Linked DNA regions of Rattus norvegicus. The protein of the gene in region 1 purifies or fractionates together with the protein of each later gene. This does not show direct contact. Links are inferred from orthologs where the notes say so. Each region holds a gene or a part of one and is shown on either strand. Other genes may lie near its edges. The genes, in order: Arpc3 and Actr3b.

What was found.
Region 2: the proteins of Arpc3 (region 1) and Actr3b purify together in Homo sapiens (affinity purification with mass spectrometry; 6 studies listed by BioGRID and IntAct, counting the BioPlex papers as one, with this or other methods). This does not show direct contact. The link is inferred for Rattus norvegicus from reciprocal best matches to the Homo sapiens genes ARPC3 and ACTR3B.

Annotation. Positions count from the first base shown.
Region 1 is NC_086030.1:39,840,896-39,844,705, reverse strand, and holds part of Arpc3 (actin-related protein 2/3 complex subunit 3), read left to right. Parts: intron 1-998; coding exon 999-1,098; intron 1,099-1,729; exon of another isoform or gene 1,730-1,872; intron 1,873-3,810. UniProt on the Homo sapiens protein: Component of the Arp2/3 complex, a multiprotein complex that mediates actin polymerization upon stimulation by nucleation-promoting factor (NPF).
Region 2 is NC_086022.1:9,995,420-9,999,083, reverse strand, and holds the end of Actr3b (actin-related protein 3B), read left to right. Parts: intron 1-1,350; coding exon 1,351-1,476; intron 1,477-2,075; coding exon 2,076-2,159; intron 2,160-2,655; coding exon 2,656-2,751; 3' UTR 2,752-2,929; downstream 2,930-3,664. UniProt on the Homo sapiens protein: Plays a role in the organization of the actin cytoskeleton.

The DNA.
Region 1 (3,810 bases):
TACCCAGCAATTCATAGCTGCCTAGTTCCAGCTCCAGGGACCCCAGCGCCATCTGCTGGAGTGCGTGGATACTGTATACATACAGAAATACCCGTCCGCAGATACAAGCGTACACACAATTAAGATTATTTTTTAATCTTTAAAAAAAAAAGTCACACTGTCACTCGTATCTTGCACAGAAAAGGTGCCGAGCGGTCATTTGATGAATGAATGAATGAATGAATGAATGAATGGTTTCGTTCACACAAGACATGAAAAGCTAGTGGGAACCTGAGTAGAGCTTAGTTGGTAGAGCAAGCAGTTGCCTAGGGTGCCTGAAGCCCTGGTTTAGTCGCCAGTTCTGTGGTTATCTAGGCCCGTCATCCCAGCATTGGGCAGGGGAGGTAGAAGTTCAAAGTTGGTGCTGGAGAGATGGCTCAGTGGTTAAGAGCACTGACTGCTCTTCCAGAGGTCCTGAGTTCAAATCCCAGCAACTACATGGCAGCTTACAACCATCCGTAATGAGATCTGATGCCCTCTTCTGGTGTGTCTGAAGATAGCTAAGGTGTACTCATATAAATAAAATAAATTTTAAAGGTGTTCAAAGTCATCCTCACCTACATAGTGAGTGAGAGTGAGAGACCACCAGCCTGGGCTACGTGTTGTGGTTGAAGGGGCTGGGGGTGGGGAAACAAGTTCAAGGAAGAGTCATGTTGTGGTCATAAGGCAGGAAGTGGCAGATTTCAAAACTAGGGCTTGGGTCCTGGCTAGCTGGCGGGTGGGAAGCCTGTTTTGTGTGGTCTCTGCAGTGAATGTCTAGGGAACGGCTGTGCTCACTAACCAGCTGACAGAACGTCTCAGAATCCACCAGTCTGTTCTCTTGAGTCAGGAGCTGTCTCTCTGTAGCTGCCACCAGCCCTCTCCTCCCACAGTTGGTCCTGAGGGTGTTTTCCTTTGGAGGACTAGCCTTGTCTCCTAGTGACACTTGTTCTTTCTCCCCTGCTGGCTTCCTTCCGCAGGCTTACCACTCTTCTCTCATGGACCCTGACACCAAGCTCATTGGCAACATGGCACTGCTGCCCATCCGAAGCCAGTTCAAAGGACCCGCCCCTCGAGAGAGTAAGTCTCGCTGTCCTTTTGTTCGGGGTCAAGACAGACCTGCTGACTTGAGAACGAGCTTAGCTTGATTCACGTGTACTCAGCTTCCTGTTACACTCTACGGGGCGGCATCACAGTTACCCACGCCACAGGAAGCTGCTTTCTCAAAACCTAGGATGTTTGCGTGAGCTTAAAGGAAATGTGGCCGGGTTGGTAGAGACCTTGCTTGGCATGGAGGAGAGCCTGGGTCCCATCTACGGTACACTGAGAGCCAGGTGTTGGGGCGCACACCTATAATCCTAGCACTTGGGAGGAGGCGGCAGGAAGATCAGAAGTTCAAAGTCATTCTCAGCAAGTTCTAGGCCAACTTGGGCTACTTGAAACTCTGTCTCAAAAAAAAAAAAAAAAAAAAAAAAAAGAGGAAATGTGTTGAATTCTGGCCACAGTCCCCACAGGCACTGTCAGTCATTTCAGACTGGCTGAATGGCAGGTCCCCAGCCTTCTTCTGTCACCATGCTGGACAAAATAAGCAACAGACAGCGTTACGTGGGCACGGGCAGTACCTAGGAGGCTGAGGTAGGAGGTGGTTGGAGTCTGGTAGTTCAAGACCTGCCTAAGCAAGGGCGAAACCTGTCTCCAAAAATGGAAGGAAGTCCAAGGTGATTCCCTCTCCAAAGGGCTGACTGTGTGCCCTTTTCAGGGACGTAGCAACTTGGAAGAAAGCCAGGCATGCCCAAGGTCTCTGGTGAACAGGGAATACTTGTTTCCTTTGCCTTCCTTTGGCTGCCCACATATATAAAAATAATAATAATAATAATAATAATAATAATAATAATAATAATAATAAATAAAATTTACAAAAAATGGAAGGAAAATGAACCTTTCTCCACCAAAGCTATTATTTCTTTGGTCAACTTTAAAAACAAAAAAGTAGTCATTTTCTTTTCATTCTGATTTGTATGTGAGGGCCCATGTGAGCCACCGCCCACAACTGGAGGTGAGAGGATAATAAACCATAAATCACTAAACCACGTCTGACTTTACACTGAGTCCTGGGGATTCGAACTCAGGTGATCAAGCTTTCTCTGCAAGCCCTCTTACCCACTGAGCCATCTCTGCAGCCCTCTGTCAGTTTCTTACCATACCCCAGTGTTATTTAAGCCTTGCTTGGATATGTGAGAAGAAAAATCTCTCTCTGAAACCCTGGTGGGCCTGGAGGTCAAACAAGCCAGCCTCAGTTGTGGTGCTCCTGCTGCCTTCTTCCCCGGGTCTGGGGTAACAGGCGTGTGCTCCCTTCCTGCCTTCTTCCCCGGGTCTGGGGTAACAGGCGTGTGCTTCCGTACTTCAGTCTTTTTTTTTTTTTCCTTTAAGACTTATTTGTGTTTTTTTTTATTGTTTTTTTTTTTTGTTTGTTTGTTTGTTTTTTTTTTTGGTTTTTTTTTTTTTTTTTTTTTGGTTCTTTTTTCCGGAGCTGGGGACCGAACCCAGGGCCTTGCGCTCCGTAGGCAAGCGCTCTACCACTGAGCTAAATCCCCAACCCCTCTTATTTGTTTTATTTATATGAGTACACTGTTGCTATTTTCAGACACACCAGAAGAGGGCATCAGATCTCATTACAGATGGTTGTGAGCCACCATGTGGGTGCTGGGAACAGAACCCAGGTCCTCTGAAAAGCAGTCAGTGCCCTTAACCACTGAGCCATCTCTCCAGCCCATAACTTTGGTTTTTTTGTTTGTTTGTTTGTTTGTTTTCTTTTTTTTATCTTTATTAACTTGAGTATTTCTTATTTATATTTCGATTGTTATTCCATTTCCCAGTTTCTGGGCCAACATCCCCCTAGCCCCTCCCTCTCCCCTTCTATATGGGTGTTCCCCTCCCCATCCTCCCCCCATTACCGCCCTCCTCCCAACAATCATGTTCACTGGGGGTTCAGTCTTGGCAGGACCAAGGGCTTCCCCTTCCACTGGTGCTCTCACTAGGCTATTCATTGCTACCTATGAGGTTGGAGCCCAGGGTCAGTCCATGTATAGTGGCTTAGTCCCTGGAAGCTCTGGTTGGTTGGCATTGTTGTTCATATGGGGTCTCGAGCCCCAACTTTGTTGTTTTTTAAAGACAAGGTCTTGCTGTGTTGCCATGGCTGGCCACTGCACCTCATGGTGTCAGAGTTCCTAATGATCGGCTTCTGGCTATGGTGAGGTAGTGTCTCACTCAGAGCATTTAAATTGTGTACCCCTGAGACCAGAGGTGTTGAACACTTTTCAAGATAGTTACTGGCCATTCATGTTTTAGTTTGAAAAGTGTCTGTTTACTGGTCCATTTTGGTTGTGTGTGTGTGTTTCTTTTCTTTTTTTCAGAGCTGGGAACCGAACTCAGGGCCTTGCGCTTGCTAGGCAAGCGCTCTACCACTGAGCTAAATCCCCAACCCTGTGTATGTGTGTTTTAAGACAGAGTTTCTCTGTATAGTCCTCACTGTCCTAGAACTCATACTGTAGACCAGGTTGCCCTCAAACCACAGAAATACTGCCTGCCTCTGCCTCCAGCAGATCACAGCTTTGTTTCCCAGTCTGGTCTGAGAATTTTGGGGTTACCCACTTTTACCACCTGTTGTTAAGTGTTTGCAGTCATCAGGGTGCAATGTCCACTCCGCCCTCAGCTGTACTCTGGATTCCCCATTCAGTTCCTGAGGTAACTTTTCACTGTTCCCTAAGCTGACATGTCTTGAGATGTTCCGCC
Region 2 (3,664 bases), on another chromosome or scaffold:
TGTTAGCTTTCATGGTACCAGCCAGCCAGTTTAATGATTCTCACCCCGCCTCACCCACCAGACGGCTGGTGCAGTCACATGATAGAGGCTGGCGCATTCGTGGGGCTGTGGGCAGAGGGAGGACGCATTTGAAAATGTTCCCCGGGTGATTTGAGTGTGCCTCTTTTCCACACTGCTGCTCTGAAGGGGTTCCAGTGTGAGCGGAAGGCCCTGTTGCCCTGTTGGCTATTATGGCAAAAAGAATTGAAGATCCATGTTAGTGATTTGTGTGGAACCTGCCTGTCAGTGAATGTGGCTTTTCTGTCGTCTTGGCTCTTGTCAGGGTTCTGCCCCAGGGCAGGGGGAGCTCGGGCACACGCTGCTTTGTGCTTTCAATTGCTTACGGTGAAGGAAGTACCAGGGGAATGATTGGTGGCAAGCCGTCACAAGAAAAAAATATAACCCATGCCTTTTGGCTAAGTAAGGTCTCAGGTGAGGGATTCAAGGAAGTCAGTTATTAATGCTGTGGGTAATAGACATGTTGGAAACTCTGGGGAGTTCAGGCCCTGGTGACATAGACAGACAGACAGACAGCATGGCAGAGCTCTGAGGAGAATCAGCCTATGAGGCAAGAGTGCCTTTTTATAGCCCCTTTTCTCTGAGGAAGGATGAAAGTTTCTCAGGAAGATTCTGCAGCCAGGCTGTGTCTGATTCTCCCTGCAGATGAAAAGGGACAGCTCTCACTGTTAAAGGAAATCAGGACTTACTCTGGAGAGGACTTTACAGCACCAAGGCCCGGAAATGCAGATTGAGGCTACCCCAGGTTCCATGCTCCAATGTGGAAGCAATTTCAGAGTTTTACAGATCAAAGAAAGTTGTAGATCAAAAAAAGTTTAAACTACACTGGTGGGCACATAAGGGAGGTGGATACAGCAGGATGGGCGTCTGCGTTTCTGTAGGCAGATGCTATTTGCTAACTGCCTTAGTTAGCTTTTGGTTTGGTGGAAACTAGGGATCTTCTAAGCTAATACCTTACTTTTATACATCAGTCACAGGATGTTTGTTCTGGCACAGGGGTGGACAAGGAATGGTTAACCCAGGACTAAAGCTAGCCTGAGGTAGGCAGCTTGCCTCTGGAGCTGCAGCATCCCGACCTCTCCATGCCCCTGCAGTTGTACTGCCGTCGGAATGCAGGCGGTCCAGCAGCAGTCTGCCTTCAGCTCCCGACGGCAGGCGTTCATGCCTCAGTTAGTGTCTGCGTCTGCGTCAGTGTGCTGCTTACCCAGCAGCCCTGCTGTGGGGCAGTGATGAGACCATCACAGACAGCTTGGTGTCACCCGAGGCGGCTCACTGTCCACTTTGGTCTTTCAGAACATCGTTCTCTCTGGAGGCTCCACAATGTTCAGAGATTTTGGACGCCGTCTGCAGAGAGATTTGAAGAGAGTGGTGGACGCCAGGTTAAAGCTGAGCCAAGAGCTCAGCGGGGGCAGGATAAAGGTAGGAGGCTGTGTGCAGGCTGCTGTCCGCCATGTCAGTGTGTGTGTGTGGGGGGGGGCAGGCAGTGAGGTGTGATGCCCAAATTCACACGTCCAAAGGGAGACGTCCTTAAGACCACTCAGACTCTCTTTTGCAAGATGAGGCATCAGTGTGTGTGACCAGGGTGCTGCAGAGACAATGGTGAGGGAATAACCTGTGTGTGCAGGGAACCAGGCTGTGCTTCTCCAAGGCCACAGCTCTGAGCTGCCCGGTGCTGCATGGGCTTCTCCCTGAGGTGGGATTTGGTAGGGAAGAGGGAGCAGAGAGCCCAGTGCAGTGAGGTGCCCGTTACAATGTTTGTTTTGTTTTAGTGTTTGGGGGTTCACTTTGTTATTGACCTTGCTAAGCCCAATGATTTGTTTGATTAATGCTAGGTTAGTGATGTGTTTCAGTACTGGAAGAGGGGGCCTCAGCTAGGCACGAGCACGTCCTCCCCTGAATCTCCTGGGCTGACAGTGCGGTGCGGCTGAGGCCGTCACTGGAGGAGCTCAGGGTCCGTCATGGTCACACTGGTGGAAGGATGTACTGTGCAGACTAAACGCGGTTGCTTGCCTTTGCAGCCTAAGCCTGTGGAGGTGCAGGTGATCACACACCACATGCAGCGCTACGCCGTCTGGTTTGGAGGCTCTATGCTCGCCTCGACTGTGAGTCCCTTTCTCGACTGCTCTGTTGTCCTTCCTGCTTCCCTATGGAGTTTGGATACAAACACGAAACAGCATCTGTTCTGTTTGCATGGCCTTCAATAGGCAAAATGAATTCTGTTTGATGTAAAAATGTTTTAGCTACCATTTAAATTGTATGTCTCGTTAACACACACCCTACTCATTGTCCTTTCCAAGTTGTTGGTTGGTTGGTTATTTATTTATTTATTTATTTATTTATTTATTTATTTCCCCCTCAATGTTGTTGGCAGTTATTTTTAGTTCACATTGACACATATTTGAACCCAGTAAGGGAAACTGAGTAAGTTTATTGTTGCTTTCCAATGTTGGAAATTGCTGAGTGAATTTTAAAAAGCGAAATAAACTTCTGCCTGGTTTGTCACCAGGTTTAGAACAGTGCTTGGCAGGGGGACCTGGGGATAAGGATAGCCTCTTCCCCTGCTCATCATCTTCCTTCCGCTGGCTGCTTCTCCTGCAGCCGGAGTTCTTTCAGGTCTGCCACACCAAGAAGGACTATGAGGAATACGGCCCCAGCATCTGCCGCCACAACCCCGTCTTCGGAGTCATGTCCTAGTGTCTGCCTCAGAGCCATTGTCTTGACAGTGTCCTGTTGGGGAATAAGTGTCCTTCAGAACCCAGAGCAGCCTTGGCTCCTGTACATAGCAGTGTGGAATCAGTGTGTGAGCAGCGTGATTTCATGGCCGGTGCTCGGGGCCGGGCACAGTCTTCCCAGTAAAGCCATTTATCCGGTGCGACTGTTCGTGGTCCTCCTCCCATCCCCCTCCCCTCCTGCCCCTCCCACTCTCTCTCCTTTCCACCTGAGCTTCTAGGCGAGCATAGCTCTGAAGGAGTCCATTGCAACCTTAGAAACTACCAGAGGAACACGTGATGCAAGTGGTTTCTCCGGGACAGACTGAAGGGTGGAGGAACCCTGGCCTTCCCAGCCTATTTTTGTAAATAAAATGTTATAAACTTGAAATACAAATTGATGTTTATATTTCCTATCATTTTGTATTTTATGGCATTTGGTATAACCGGCTAATATTAAGCATGAGTAGTCACAGAGTTCATGGATGTCACAGAGTTCTGTAATAAAGTGCTTAATTGTGAGGCATGCTCTGATGTCTGTACAGGCAAGTAAAACAGCAGGCCCAATGCCACATGTCTGCTGGGCAGTGATCACATGTTGGTGGGGTGGTGTGACATCTGGGCACTCACCAGGACTGGGTGGGAGTTGCTACAGATGGATCTGAACTTCCTGAAGCTGCTTTATAGAAGATGATGGTTTATGTTGTTGAGTGTGGGATGAAATACTATTGCACTGTTGTAATAAAAGCTGCTAGAATCTTTACAACTGTTCCTTGTGGTGTCTCTTGAGAACCTTGGACTCCACAGGTTTGCAGATGATAGATGACTGATACTGTGTGCATGCATGCGTGCGTGTGCACCTGTGTGTGTGTGTGTGTGTGCGTGTGTGTTAAAATTGA